Drosophila melanogaster: one gene and its partners. The protein of the gene in region 4 interacts with the protein of the main gene of each other region in a pairwise test. Each region holds a gene or a part of one and is shown on either strand. Other genes may lie near its edges. The genes, in order: 7B2, CG13678, CG13634 and LpR1.

The links.
Region 1: the proteins of LpR1 (region 4) and 7B2 interact in a two-hybrid assay, tested with the Drosophila melanogaster proteins (one large-scale study listed by BioGRID).
Region 2: the proteins of LpR1 (region 4) and CG13678 interact in a two-hybrid assay, tested with the Drosophila melanogaster proteins (one large-scale study listed by BioGRID).
Region 3: the proteins of LpR1 (region 4) and CG13634 interact in a two-hybrid assay, tested with the Drosophila melanogaster proteins (one large-scale study listed by BioGRID).

The regions. Positions count from the first base shown.
Region 1 is NT_033777.3:5,374,885-5,378,537, forward strand, and holds 7B2 (7B2), read left to right. Parts: upstream 1-1,895; 5' UTR 1,896-2,047; coding exon 2,048-2,066; intron 2,067-2,114; coding exon 2,115-2,926; 3' UTR 2,927-3,091; downstream 3,092-3,653. Other genes in the region: CG14667 (uncharacterized protein), read left to right, coding at 207-332, 394-1,040, 1,103-1,216, 1,273-1,399. UniProt on the Drosophila melanogaster protein: Acts as a molecular chaperone for neuroendocrine convertase amon/PC2, preventing its premature activation in the regulated secretory pathway.
Region 2 is NT_037436.4:8,220,259-8,223,498, reverse strand, and holds CG13678 (uncharacterized protein), read right to left. Parts: upstream 1,359-3,240; 5' UTR 1,297-1,358; coding exon 1,285-1,296; intron 1,033-1,284; coding exon 658-1,032; 3' UTR 546-657; downstream 1-545.
Region 3 is NT_033777.3:24,787,682-24,792,024, forward strand, and holds CG13634 (uncharacterized protein), read right to left. Parts: upstream 2,456-4,343; 5' UTR 2,110-2,455; coding exon 2,040-2,109; intron 1,988-2,039; coding exon 669-1,987; 3' UTR 583-668; downstream 1-582.
Region 4 is NT_033777.3:25,757,294-25,762,009, forward strand, and holds the start of LpR1 (lipophorin receptor 1), read right to left. Parts: upstream 3,030-4,716; 5' UTR 2,910-3,029; intron 1,993-2,909; 5' UTR 1,884-1,992; coding exon 1,499-1,883; intron 1-1,498.

The DNA of each region.
Region 1 (3,653 bases), about 20 Mb from region 4:
TAAACAAGCGCATGTTGTATCGTTTTAACTATTAATAAAATCAAATGAATAAAAAATCTTTTTGCGCTATAAAAATGTATCTGACTATCGGATTCACCGATAACAAATCGATTAAGCACTGTCGTTTTTCCAACTGTTTTATGATCTGGTAACACTTTCCGTCGCTGCGTTTTATGCTAAAAGTAAACACATTAACTTGATAAACAATGAACCTCGCCGACGTTTGCCGTATTTGCGCCAACAAAATTATGGGCCACCAGCGAGATCGCAACATATTCATTCACATGCGGGGAAAATATTTGGGTCAACTGAAGCTAATCACGGGAGTGGAGGTAGGTCGTTATGTCAGCTTCCGACCGCGCCAACAATTGTTATTACCTGGAATTTGTTCAGCTGACAAGAAACCAGGGGCTGCCGGAGATTGTTTGCGAGCGCTGCTTCTCCGAGCTGGACCTGGCCACCAAGTTCCGCGAGCGGTGCATCTTCTCGCAAAAGTACCTGCTGGATATCATAAAGAAGACCAGTGATCAAAGCACTGTTCACGTTGAGCTTAGTTCCGAGCCGCTGGACGAGCAACTGATCGATGCGGATCAATTGGAGACGCACTACGATGACGACCAGTACGTTTGTTATCAAGGCACGAAAGAGGAACACCAAGACCTAGAGGAAATCGAGCTGGATGACGACCCCTCTGCCGCTGTGATAGCGGCAGCAGAGGCGGCAGCAGAAGCGGCGCAGCAGGAGGATCTACAGGAGCAGGAAATGGAGCGGGCCGCCAAGAGGCGCAGTAACTTCTTTATCTGCGACGAGTGTGGAACCCTGTTCCACGATGCGTTCCTGTACACCGAGCATTTAAATGGGCACCAGAACCGGCGGGATATGAACCAGTTCTTCCCCTGCCCTGAGTGCCCACAGACTTTTAACAAGAAGGCGCTTCTCAAGCAGCATCGCACCCAGGTTCATTTAATTAACCGCAGGTTCCAGTGCACCATCTGCCACGAGGCTTTCGCGTCTCTGGGCGCTAAGTTGCGGCACGACAAGTAAGGAGGCTGGGAATTGAATGCTAGCGCAGCACTATATGCAACTTCCAATTTCATTTTAGAGCCCATAAGAACGAACGACCTTATCCATGCCTAGAATGCGGAATGATCTTCAGCAGCGTTTCCGAATTGCAGAACCACTTTTCGACACACTCAAAGCAAATCCGAAAGTTCAGGTAAGCTTGTCAGCTTGCGCAGTCATATGTCTTAATATCGTATTTTTTGCGTTTAGGTGTGAGCCTTGCAACATGGATTTTATAACTCGCCGAGGCTTGGTGGCCCATACAAAAACAGCACCGCATAAGCGCCTTGCCAAATATATGCAGGATGAATTCGATTTCATCGAATTGGCAACCTAACCCTCAATTATTACCACCTTCTTTCTAAGTAAATGCTAAGGTCAAAAAAATAAATCATAATTGAGTAGTTCAGTTTACTACTTCGCTACCATAATATTCGACAATGGAGTATCGGTTCAATGTTATTTTTTTATAAGTGTATTTTTAATTTATTGAAAATAAAATTCCTTCAGTTTTACTTTCAAGTCATTTTTTATAGTTCATACTTTTAAATTAAGGAGGGAATGGAAATTTATAGCGTATTACCGTGTAACATAAACCTCTAGTCATACAATTCAAGAAAATAAAGTTTTCTTAGCGACTAAGTTTTCTTATTTTCTTCCAGCATTTTATACTAATAAAGCTTAAAGAGGCCTGAAAACCTCAGCTCCAGCAGTTTGGCGCTAATCTAATTCTCGGCCCCCCACAGGACTGCTTCAACATAAAAGAGCTTTCGAGTACGGCGCATGCGTCCTTTCAGCTGTGGCTGCCATAAGGCAGCTTCGATTGGATCTGCGTATATTTCGCAAATTCAACTGGTAGCCGCCGCACGAAGCACAGAGCCCTACGTCACGTTAGTATATACACGGAATCGGAGCAGCTGCCGCCGAAAAATCAATACCTTACCAAACTTCGACGTGGACGGTTGAAACCGCTTGGAATCGCAATATGTTGTTCCGTTCGCAAAGTAAGTCTGCTGAAGTAATATTTATAGGTGGGTGAGGTAAGAGAATAGCCCATGTTTTTCCAGGTGTGTACATGATGGTGGCGATGCTCGTGGTCGCCTTGAGTGGCTACCAGGTGCAGTCCTATAGCGCCAAGGATATTCTTGCCGATGTCTTGATGACGGATCTGCTGAATCGCATGGACAAAGACATGCAGGTGGGCTATTACGACGTGGGCAACGAGGCAGCCGCTGGCTCCAAGGACAACGTGGACCTGGTCTCCCGGTCGGAGTACGCGAGGCTGTGTGACGGCGGAAGCGACTGCATCCTGCAATCGGGCTCGGCATCGGGAGCTGCCTCCCATCCTTCGCTGCGGGATGACGAGTTTCTGCAGCACAGTTCGCTGTGGGGTCACCAGTTCATCTCCGGCGGAATGGGAGAGGGTCCCAACAGGTATCCCACTATAGTGAAGAACGACGCCGGCCTGCCTGCCTACTGCAACCCTCCTAATCCCTGCCCTGAGGGCTACGACATGGAGACGCAAGGCGGCAGCTGCATTGTCGACTTCGAAAACACGGCCATCTTCAGCCGGGAGTTCCAGGCCGCTCAGGACTGTACCTGCGACAACGAGCATATGTTCGACTGCTCGGAACAGGATAGTGCTGATGTGGGCGGCGACAAGGGTGACCTGAACTCCGCCGTGGAGCAGTACATCATGCAGATGGGCCAGGAGAACAGCCTGAACAACGTTAACAGCCTGGCTAAGAAGGCCGGATATCCTGTGATGCCCGATCCTCGGCTGGACGACGCGGTCATAAACCCGTTCCTCCAGGGCGACCGCTTGCCCATAGCCGCCAAGAAGGGCAACCTTTTATTCCACTAAGGTAACTCGCTGATAACGCGAGCATACACGACGTTTCCATATGGGTGTCTAATACTATTATCTATCATAGCTGGTTATCAATGTTGTCCCGCAAGCGATGTCTAGTAATGTTTCTACCCTTTCCCGAAAATAAAGTTATTCGTATAGTACCAGGGCTCTAAGCCGAAAATATGCGGGTATTGGTCTAAACTTGGGGTAGGGTCTCCACTACCGAAGGTGGGTTCGGATGTAGCTTATCCTTGGGATGACCCAAGTTTGATGAGAGTGAGAAATATCGAATATCTGTTTGATGCTTCTATTTATTGTTTTAAAAAGTTTTACAATCCATCAAATCATCAATGATTATTCATTTAAAAAGAACTATCCTCGATATGTCGTCGAGTGTACAAATAGGCCACTGCGGTTCAGCTCCACGTTGAGTATTTTGTGTCAGCATGCACTGGCCGCGTGTTTCGGATGATCCACGCGGGTATTGACTTAAAGATAACCTAACAAATGATAGTATAGTACATCGCATGAATGTTGCTGCCACAGTGGGCGATCAGCCACCCAATTATTGGCACACATCGACACTGGCAGTGTGATTAGCTAAGCATAATGTTCGTTCTGTTGCCATGAAGCCTTATGAACGACCTGATCCTTCTGAGCCAGAGTGTCCTGGCTCTCACTCGCGTCCCTATACATACTATACAACACAATCCTTCCTTCTGACTACAATTCTAGGTAT
Region 2 (3,240 bases), on a different chromosome or scaffold from region 4:
GAGGTGGTGAGGGTGTTTTCGGCTTTGAGCCGGAGGAATTCGAGAATTGGGGATGGAGGACGGAGAACGGAGAATGAAGGATGCTAACCCATATTTTGGTGGCTTGCGGTTGCTGCGGCAATTTCGGTTTTCGCAGGCTTCAGGATGTACGTACTACGTACGAGTACATATCCAAACTCATTGAAGCCTGCGGCTGGAGCCCGACAATTTCATCGCAGATGAAAGAGGCTTCCATGCTCATTTATATGCAGGCCCAATCCGCAGCCTCGACATATAGCAATAATTGAACGCTTAGCTTGAATGGCCGCAAAAAACCGCTCGCTAATGGAGCATTTAAATATGCGAATGCCAGTGCTTGGCATGCTAATCCATAAAACTGTAATCTCACATGTTATATGAATAGTTTTGAAGTCAGCTAAAATATGTACTTTGCAAGTAGTAACTAGAACTCATAATGGATTGATAAATGAGATACCCTTAAGATTGCTAAAGTTAATTACTTTTGAAAGCTATAAACCCATAAATGAAAAACAATTATAACATGTAGATTCTAAACGGTTTAATGCATCACAAGTAGGGGTTGCATGGAAAATAAATGCCAGTCCATGAGCCAAGCTCATGGGGCAATATCTTCCGCAGGGTTTACAATCCATGGATTTACTTCTTCAGCAGCAGAGGAGCGGCAGCAGCGGCGACATAGGGACGAGCCACATAGGGCGAGCTGTAGGCCAGGGGCGAGGTGTAGGCGGCGGCGTAGGGCGTGGCAAATCGGGTGTAGGGAGCGGTGTAGGCGGCAGCCAGAGGAGCAGCAATGGGAGCGGTATAGGCGGCGGCAACTGGAGCGGCATAGGAAGCTGGGAAGGCGGCGCTGTGGGCCACCGAGTGGGCGGTGTAGCTGGAGGCGTAGGGAGCCACGTAGGCGGCACTGCCCACCACAGCCGGAGCGGTGTAGGCCAGAGGAGCGGCGGCCAGAGGAGCCAAAATTCCAGGCTTGGCAGCAGCCACAGCCACAACAGCGAAGAAGATAGCAGCCTAAATGGTGGAAGTTTCAATGTAAGTGTTAAGTGAAGTAATATTAAAAGAATTACTACAAAAATTAATATTTAAAATGATTTAAGTTCTGCAAATGGAACTCATTCTTATAAGGTTACTTAAAATGGTTTTCTCAGATATCTACTATCTTTTGCAATATTTTGTTTAAATATCAGTTATACTTTTTATATTAGTTTATAAAGGCTTCCTTCTCCTTCAAAACTTCGTTCTAAATAGTTTTCCTGTACTTACGAATTTGAACATGTTGATGTATTGGTTTTCTTTTTGGATTGTCACTTGGTAGATGGCCAATTGGTTTGTGATGTCCAACAGCCAGCTGCACGACTCTTTTATAGCCACTTACACTTTTCGAGCTATTTACCAATGCAGATCACGCTTTTAGATCAGCCATCGATGGTTGCCAAGTCAACGACTTTCGATTGACGTTGCGCATGCGCAATTCTTGGCTACTGTTTTTGAATTTGTTTTTTTTTTTTCTTTCAATTTTTTCGTTTTAGTTTTCGTGGTCTAGACCTGACCATGTCTTATTTTTGGTGCGTGCCTGAACGTCCGTTACTCGGCGATTTGTCCCTGACCTTGACGACTGCAATGGGCTTACAATTTAATGGGTCTTACGGGTTTAACCGCCAACGAAAAGGTAGCTGAAGTTCGAGTGATTTATGAGTGTTATGCCGGGCCGATATCAGGAAATTATCAAGTCATTCCGCTCCATTACCATTCGCCTGTTTGCCTATTTTAATAGACCACAATAAATCCGGCTAATCACTGTCTAATTATCCGCTCTCACCGCTGGAAGAACCGAAATTAATTAATAAATGTCACAAATTGCGGGCAAAGAGCTTAGAACTCACTAATTAGAAATATCGAGTGCAGGCCGCCGCCGTGTGTGGTAAAGCGTACGTCACAAGGATGCACCACCACAAAGGCCACTCCACCCAACTCCACCCAACTTCACCCACTTCTTGCAGGCTGTTCGGGAACACATATCCTGATGCTCCTGCTGCGCCAGGCTCACACTTGAAAAAGTGTTGAAGCGTGAATTTTGCTTAAAAATGCCAATTACGCGATTTCAGCAGCGCAATGGATTGGTGGATGGTGGCTATAAAGCACCGCTCAAAATGGGCGGTGAATTTCAGGGGGTGTGGCAACATACACACAGAAAAAATGATGTGCAATTACATATGTATATTATTCTAATATATAAAAACTATATTACTATTATATTATTTGAGGCCACTTTCCTAAAAATTTTGTTAAATAAACAATATTTGATTTGTTGTATATATAAATATATTTTGCTGCAAGAGTTGGTTGGTCTTTTCGACGACTACAGCAAATTGTTGCCGTTCTCCTTCGGGTTTGCTTTTCAGCCGCTTTCGATGATGATGTTGCAGGCGAAGGATTTGGCGCGCATCCTGCCACTTCCTTGCCTCCTTTTGTGCAGCTCAAGTGTTTGCCATGTGCCTGTGCATACGAGCCAGCCTATTGCCATCCGTGGATGTGCTCCCTCGTGGATGTGGAGGAGTAAGGGGATGTGGATGTGGTGTCTACTAAATGCACAATCATGCAGCTGGCAGCGGGGCATGTATTGAGAACAGCAAACGGCAACCGCAGGCGGCAAACATATTTGTTTTGACACTTGACTTCCCTCCTGGCCACCAGGCTGCTTTCATTGTCAAGTTTGCGGCGAGGACTTGCTACTGAAATTATTATATTGGTTAATCCGCCTAAAAGCTTTGATGGCACATCCGCCCCCCAAATGGCAGCCATCTCGAGTGCCCACAACTTTCGAGTGGCCCGAACGGGGAGCATATCAAAGAGCAGTCCCCTGGGAGAAGGCAAGAGCACCCGGAGTCGGAGCTGGGGATAATGTATATGTATCCACGAGTGCCGGCAAGTAATTAAAAAGCAAGAAATTTCCACAAAAAGTCGCGCACAAAAATCGCTCCGTTTGACATGGACAAAGCTTGGGACGAGGACTTTGGAACCAAAAGAAGTGAGCAACGCATCAAGCTCGACTTCAAGGATATCCATAACTTATGAACTAAATTAACTAAACATATATGTATTTTTTAATTAAAAGTTACTACTAAAATTTTATGTCTATACTAAACTAAAACGTTCAACCAAAATAAGTAAAAAGTTTAAAATTAAAACATTACTCAGCTATACCAACTCTAATAGGCT
Region 3 (4,343 bases), 970 kb from region 4:
TTTATTTTGTAGTTAATTTTAGTTTATACTTTAGACTTAATGAATATTTTATTTATTAAAACAAGCTTTAGGATTTTAAAATAATTTTTAACCTATATGTTAAAGATTATTTCAAATATTTGGCTTCTAGCCTTGCATTCCTTTATTTCAATTTGAAAGCTAATCAAACCACTTTCTGAAAATTTTGTAATATTTTCTCCTAATTACCGCCCCGCAGCCAAGCCATTGGTCTTTCCCCTTTAAAGTGAATTAACCAATCGGCGGGCAGCGGAGGCGTGACGCGGCTGCGTAGTGCATCCTGGCCAGCTTTCAGGAGCATCAACCCCCGAACGGTGACTCCGGCCGCATTGCCTGGCATCCTATCCAGGTGCCCTCGACCAGTCACAACGGAAACTCAGAACCAACTGCACGAAGGCAACGGAATGCGCGCTGATCACCATCAACGTCAAGTGAAAGCCATCGAACTCTGAATAATTGAGGAGTATTGATGAGCAGCAGCCAGGTGAAATCCTATTAGTGAAAATCCAACAAGTTCAAGAGTGCATCCGGACCACCGATCGATCCATGGATACGGCCAAGTTGGTAAGATTCGCTTAAAGCTTTTATTTTCAACCGCATCGGACGTACATAAATAGGGCTTAAACTAGGAGTCCTTCGAGGTGGTGGTCTTAGCCATAGCTCAGGGTGTAGCCCATGTTCTCCATGAGGGTCTCCTTGATGGCCGGCTGGAGCGCCCGCTGCATGTAGGTGGTCAGCAAGCCACGGACGCCCATGGAGAAGAGCTTCTCCAGCTCGTGAGACATGGCCTCGCCCACCAGCTCCTCACGATCTCCGGTGGGACTGGAGCCACTGCCGCTGAATATATCTGCAAAGGCTCTGGCATCCGGCTCCACCAGCTGCTGCAGCTGCTCATCCTCGAAGTGCAGCACATCCTCGCTGAAGTTCACCTGGTCCTCGAAGTTCTCTTTGGCGTAGCGCCGCCGGCGTCTCCTCTTTTTGCTGAACTGCCGCCGGTAGAAGTTGTCCCCGTTCACATCGATGAACTCACCCGAGTCCTGGGCCTGGCTATCGCTGCCCAGCTCCAGGCTGTACTCCTTAGTTCTTTGCGGCACCTGACCCTGGCGGATATCATAACCCGCCTGCTGATGGTATTTGCCCCACCTTTGTGGTCTCTTGCTGCCCAGTATCACGTGCGGTTCGCCCAGTTCCACTTCCGGAGCACTACCGAATCTCCGCTTGGAGTTCTGGCGCAGACGGATTCCAGTGGGTCCCTGGCATCCGTGAGCAAAGACCGATATAAATCCGGGCTCAGCGAAATGAGAGTCCGTGCGCACCGAGGCGGCTCCCAATCTCCGGGACTGCTCGTAGTTGGAGGCGTGTCCTGATCCCAGTGGAACCGTTCGAAACTCGATGCCCGCGTGTCGCAGTCTCAGAATCATGTGACACTTTCCGCCCATCGGCTGCATCACCACCTTGCCGCTGAGAGTAAGATCCGGAAAGATCAGGCGGGTGTCCAGCGTGGAGTTCTCAGTGCTGAATTTGCACTTGTCGATCTCAACCCACCGGTTGGCGGACTTCGCCGGCGGCACTCGCACCTTGAGATCCTCCACATCCACCCGGGAAATTGTCAGTTTGTGTGGTTGTCTGTGCTGCTGGCTCTGCTGATTCACCGCCAGCAAATCCTCCAGCTCTAGTGCACTGCTTGAATCGGAGAAGGGATTGGCTTGTCCATTTCGATGCAGCAACTTGGCGTGATAGCCACGTCCGCTGCTGTAGGCACCCACATTGTAGAAGTCATCCTCCGGATCACTGTGCTGTCCGTAGAAACTGTGGTACAACTGGTAGGGACTCTGCGGTGGCGGCTCCCACATGGCGCGCGATGCGGAGGAGCTCTTGGTCTGCACACTGCGTCGACGCATGTGCTCCAGTGCATTCTCCAGCCGGTTGGAGCATCGGTGGGGCAACTGGTACGGCTGACAGAGGGTCACTAAAGAGCGTGTGTTAGCAGAATTGTCTACGATGCAGTGGTGGTAACTTACCCGCCAGCAGAGAACACATGGCCAGCAGAAAGTACAGCCAATTGAAATCCCGGCTCACGTATCCTGACATGGCGGTATTCCAAACATGGAGTGGGGTAATCTTTTTTACTCAGGCTGTAAGTCCTTAGAATCCTTGTTTTTTAGGCTTTTGAAATCTGTTAGTTCTCACTGGATTTTAAACTTTTTATTCACAAAATCACAAGACACATTAATGTTTTTCAAAAATATTTATTATCAAATGGTAATGCGTTTCTTCTTTTATATAAAGAACGTTTGTCGATTATATTTCAGTTCGTTCGTTAATAAAATTTAAACTGCAATTTATGTTAGCTACTTTTCCAGAACTTGGATTGTAATATCTTAATAGTACAATGTTGTTGGGTTATCTTTTGAAAGAATCCTTAAGTTGGCCAGAAAACACCTCCGAACTCGCCCGCAGCTGAACCGAAAATGCGACTCCCAAGACCAAGCGGAGCGAGAAACTGGCTCGGTCGCGCTTCCATTGCCACCAAAACCAAAAAGACACCCACAAGAAGACGGAGAAGAGCATAGCCATAGCCATCGTGATGGTGACGACCGTGTCACTGCCTCATCATGTGCAGTGAAAGTGTTTTCCACGACGGATCCATAGCCAGAGTTAAAAAAGAGACAGAGATTCGGAGTCCCAGTCATCCAAGTCGAGCCACACACACAGAAAAACGAAAAAAAAAAACAGAAGAAAAAAGACGCCAGCTAAAACAATTTGGAAAAAGAAAAGCATTGTCTTCTGCGAGCCCATGGGTCTCAGTCCACCACCCACCGCTCCCTTGGGCGGCTGCAAACTAGATCAGTACATATACCTTATATGTATATAATAGCATACCATACCAAACCATACGATACCATACCGAAAGGTAAACACACGACTGGAGTTTCGTAATGTCAGTTGCGGGCGCGCATGCGTCGTAATCTCTGCGAGTATGTGCACCATTGTTCGCCAGGGTTCAAAGTTGATCAATCCGTCGGATGAGTCAGTCACCCAGCGCCACAGTTTGTTTTCCCAATTGCACTTGTAATTGGCACCAATTGCGCATACAAATTAGGGCCTAATGGGTGTGGGCCCATAGGTACTATATAAGGTACAAATGGTTCAATATGCATCATATCTGCAGTTTAATTGAATTGAGAAATAATTTATTAGAAATCTTGCATTTTTAATAACTAAAGTGGAAATTCAGTGGAACCTTTCTTTGAAAAAAGTATTACGCTAATGATATGAAGAGCTATTATGATCGATATTAATATTCGTCATTTATGATCATTGATATATTTGGTATATGTAGCTAAAGAAATATCTCATAAATGGTATTGCTATCTTTCTGATATAGAGTATTCCTTAGTTATGGTAACCCATCCAAAAAGTGGTTCCCTGTTGCACCTGCGCACGTGTGGCAGGTGACATCGCTTGGCTGGCTGCCGCTGCGATTTTTTTTTCTTTTTGTTAAATTTTTTAGCTGCTTGCACACGACAGTTACACTAAATAACTGCTGTAATTTGATTTGACAAATTGTTTGCTTGCACTTAACGAACGCGATTCAGCGACACATTTTGCAATTTATCAAAAATTTGTGCGCGCAAAAAGCGGAAGAGAATTGCCAAATCCGTGATCCAACCAGTTGAATGTATCATTGTCAAGATTTATATAACCCCCGATTTGGGGGGGAGAAAGTCGAGCATTCTGCACTTCTTATGGCCCAAACTGGAGAAAAGGGACGGCACGGTGCCGCTTTCTGCGTTTCCACCAAAAGTTTTTCTCTATTTTCATACCAACTGGAAGTTGGCATGGTGTATTGCCGATAGAGCCGAACCAAACCGGCAGCGATTACGGGCACGTAATTAAGGGTAACTATCTCGAATGGTTCTCGGATGCGACGGAGCAAATCCAGATGGCACATGGTGGTGCATCGCAGCGCTTGCTGCTCCAGTTTGTCCAAATGTCAGGCAAGGGACTCGAATTGGGGTCAGTGTTGGATGCACTTCGTCATGGAGGCCCGACTGATTGGGCTCCGTAAGCAAACAACGGATGGAAAACCTTAAAGAAACACTATTGTCTTTCTTTCTTGGACTGATGCTCGATTTGTTTTAAATGCCTAAAGCAATCACTTGAAGATCGACCTACATTCAAAAGTAGGTTGGGAAATCGATGGGTGTTTGAATTTGTTTGGATTTCAATATGATATATTACTTAGTTTCTAGTGCAAGTTAAGTAAGATAGACATTCCATTGATGGGTATTCCATTAAATCAAAATGATTTCTTTGAAGAA
Region 4 (4,716 bases):
AGAGCAAAGTCCAAGATTCCCAAGAGCAAAGTACAAAAATGCAAGTAAATGTGGCAGATTTAGCCTTAAGACTATTTTTTGGCACTCAATATGTTGATTGATTTTCAAAAGTGCGAACTGCTTAAAAAATTTAGCTATTTAAAAATAGTTTCAAACCAAAATGTGTGAACAATAAAAATAAATTATTTTGGTTAGGATAACTGCTCTAATACGTCTTAAAAATTAAATATTAATTTATAACAATCGTAGTTTTCACACTTCATATTCTTTTATCTATATGTTTTCAAGATCATTTGAATGACTTATGGCACCAATTCAAAGCTCCTTGCACTATCAATCCATTAATTCTTGATTTATAGAAGGAAATTTCTATTGTCTGACTGCCCTTTATTGTCCACTTATCTTCAAGTCGCGAAATCCCGGCGGTCGAAAAATGCATAAAAACAAATCGTAAAATTGACCGATAAGATAATCCCCAGTTCGGGGCTAGCACTAAACGTAAATCCATATTGGCCAAAACAGGTGGCTAGATTTAAAGTTAGATTTATGATTGGAATGCCCCGCGCCACAAAATAACGTCACAGATAGACGCCAAACGCTTTTCCTATCGCTTAGCCATTAGAAGATACAGATTCTCGATGGTCAGCCAGGCGGAAATCAATGCGGAAGTGGATAAAAAATTCTCGGCTATTTCGATACCACGGTAACAGTAGGTCCGCATACCGTCTGTGTGTGTGCAACAAGTGGAAGGTGCACTTTTGTATCTGTATCTGCAACTGCATTAGTGCTTGTATCTGTATCTTTTTAACTGAGCCCATTTTAAGTGCACGAAGTGTGAAGTGAGCAAAGCCATTTGAATGACTCGACATGCAGGTGATACCCTTGTGACCAAGATTGTGATGATTATAAATTAAGCAGTATAATGGAAAGGCCATATATCTTAAATGTTATTATTGACTCATATAAGTCAAAACTGCTTACTTTCCATTCAAAGAGGATTGCTTGGAGTTGCGAAGATAATGTAATATTTTGAAATAATCGTTTACATTGCTCAATGGCTTGGGGATAATTTAATAACTAAATACTCAAACACTATCAGCTTAATAAAGTTTAATGAAAAGCTTCTTAGCATTGGTTGATAATTCTTTAACGATTAAATTGTAATTCGATTGCACGCGCTTTAATTTTAAGTTATCAGCTCAAGCTAAGTACTTTACTTTGTTCTACAACGCAGTTATTAATACAAATTTTTTTTCATTTTACATATTTGTAAATAGGCATCAAGTTGAAAAGATTAAATGAATCATTTTATATATACCCCAAGCCAGGGTATCCAAACTTCATTTTCGACTTCAACCTCGACGACATCTGTGGTCTAAAATTAGCACAAGCTAGGCTATAAACAAACATCGCACTTTGTGCCCCCCCTTGTGCGATCTTTTTTTCTGGTTTTTCGCTATTTTCGCCGGTTTTTTCAATCAGCCAATGCATTTCTCACCTATGCCGAGGGGTGTGCCAATCTTTCCGGAAACGTTGAGGAACTTGAATCCCATGTTGATGAAGGCTTTGCCATCGATCACCTTGCTCAGCGATCCGCTCTCGTCCAGCGTTTGTGGATTATGTGGGCTAACTGCCGAGGTGGGCGTGTTCGTTGAGGGCGTGTTCAGCGGCGTGGGCGTGGCAGTGCAGCATTTGCCGAATCCGAGCATTAAAGTCAGGAGCAGGAGATTGAAGTTGGCGCATGCGCAGCGGAACAGCTGTTCGGCGCGTCTTTTCTCGCCGAGATTACCGAATGTTACTGGAGATTTTGAGCTTGTGGTTGATTTTATGGCGGTTTTTGTGGTTTCACTTGCAGTGCTCGTAGAGCGTGACTCTATGGCCATGGTACGGTATTTTGCTTGCCTTCACTCTTCTTTTGCTTTAATTTATGCTGTCTGTTTAATGCTTTTTTCACACTTTTATCACTTCGATCTTACAAGGTTTGTATAGACACTGTATTCGATAGGGGAAAATTAAGTGGGGTGATTTCTGGTGACCCTGGTTGAATAGATTATCTAAGCAGGAAGCGTGAGATCTTCGCCAGAGATTATCTAATCAGAGAAATGGCCAAAAGAACCAGCGTCAACGTAAAAATAAACGCAAGCATTAACGCAAAAACATTGGAAGAATCGCTTGCCAGCCAAAAAATAAAATAAACACACGATCCGGCCAATTCTCTTTTACTTTCGTCTCTCTTCACATTTCTTATTTCGAGATGAGAAGACTGAAGAAACTGGTTGAAAATCGTGCGACACACAAAAACGCGACGTAGCTAAAAAAAAATACAAAAACCGAAAAGGCCGAAAAAAAAAAATTTAAGCAAAAATATCGGACAACAACAAAATCACCGAAAAATGCGAAGAGAGAAAAAAAGCAACGCATAAAATTACACAGAAAATTCATTTATATATTAAACTTTGAAAATAATTATATATGTACTTAACGAGAAATAACATTTATTTTGAGTAAAATATGGAAATTATAAACGATAAGTAAAATATTTGATAATAATTGTATATTAGCAAGAAAAACAAGTTTTCCCTTAATTTTTATAGAGAAACAAAAACGTTTCTGTTGACGTTGGCAATTAATAAAGCCGAAGTATAATTTAAAATTTAGTTGAGCGGACGGCCACGCCCCCTCCGATCGCGCAAATAAATTAATTAAATATTGTTGTTGCCGATATTTGTAGCTAGCACGCGTCAAATCGCCCGGATAAATAAACTCTTATCAGTTTTGCCTTTTATTTTGATTTATTTTTGCGGTATTTTCAAGGTGTCTGCGAATGTGCGGCACGTGCTAATCGCGTCTTTCCAAATTTATTTCAGAAACAGATCATTGCATTTAAATCTGTAGAATGTTTGAATTACATGAGGTTTGTTTTTATTTCGCTTTGTTTGTTTCTTTTGTGTTTTTTATTTGGTTTTTAAGTTGAAAATAAACCGCAAAAAACTGTGATGCCCGTTTCGCACAACGCGCCTTTTTCAACTGAATTCGCTTAGAGAATTGGCCTGCAAATTTAAGCGAATCGCCAGCGATTTTAATTCGAGAGCCGAGAGTAACTGTCGTTTGCGATTGTGCTTGTTTTTGCACCGTCTTAAGGTGGCCTTATCAAAACTGACAAGAAACTGACCAGACCCCGTCGAAGAGATACATAAAGAGTGATCTGGCAGATCGGAGCACTCTCTGAATTTAATCGATGCTGTATTCCACTCTTAGCTCCCCAAAAGATTACTAACGTACAAGGTGCTCTTAAGGCAAACCAGTTGATCAGTGATCAATGGAGCGTACGTTGATGTGAATGGATAGATTGGGCAAGGAATCGTTGGGCGATCTATAGATACAACTATTACAGAAGCATTGTTTAAAAACTACAAGAATTTTAAATGCTTCTTCAACTGAGATAATTTATTTAAAAAACAAAAGCAACATGCTAACGAATCCCAGCTATTAAGAATCGATCAATCATTTCTTAAGTTATAAACCTACGCCTTAGAAATTAAAGTATTTTTTATGATAAGGGATCATACTACTTTCGGAATATTGCGACTGATTTCACAACTAGACAGAATTCCGTGGAAATATATTGAATAAGTAGTGATAATTATCTTGTCGTAATGCCAAGAATCCACTTTAATTTAAAAATACGTTTTGTTATTTTATACTCAAGTTGGGCAAATATCCCCTGAGAAAGAAAAAGAAGGACTCAAGTGCTAACTTGAGAATGATGTTTGCGAACCAACAAAGGTTATATAGGGTAATCGCACAAAGTGTACTTAGATGTACATGTAATTGGTCAGCCAATTATTCAATCTGATATTAAAGTCTAATTAAAAATAAGTGGTTAAGGGCTCCGAATTAAGAGCAGTTTCAGACCTCGGAAAAAATCCTATTTTCTACAGTACCAACCTGAATGTAAGGAAAACGCCAAGGAGATCACAATCAGCACACAGAGATCACTTTTAAACATCGTACTGTACGAAAATACGTTTTTCAGACTGTATGTATCTAGACTTCCTTTTTGCGTTGCCACCGCGTTTATCAGTGCGAAAAACAAAGATATTTTTTAATTAAGCTGGACAACCGGACGTGAGAATTGTGCCGATAATCGTACGACAGTCGTGACGTTCTGCATGGGCCCACCGAAACTATATCCAGGTATCAAATAGGTATTTTGAATATACTTAATTCTTTTGATTTTTTTTTGGGACCCGGAAGGTTTTACGGTGTGATGCCCAGCGAAGACCGATGCGAACTGAAATGCCTTTCGGCGATTGGTAAACGGAATCGCAGCTCATTAGCATTGAAAGTGTCGCCGCTTTCAATCAAACCAGGTGTGGGTCCGATTGAAAGTGGTGTGAAATTCGAAATTGAACTGGAGTGTCGTGGATTTGATTTCATTGGCTTTTGGCTTGGTTAGAGTTGCGTTGACTGACGTCGATGATAAGAGGCGGTGAAAAATCGCAGCCAGCGGACAATGGGTTCGGTTAGGGTCAGTCATTTAAAATGCGTCATCTTCAAAACAATTATCGGCACTAGCAGCATCCCAGTACCAATGGAAATCTCAATCAAACCCGCAATCACAATCACCATCATATCAGCCATTAGATTGCATTGCAATCACCATCGTCATCGGTGCTTGGGCGTCATCTGCATTTGTCATGGATTCTCCGGCGT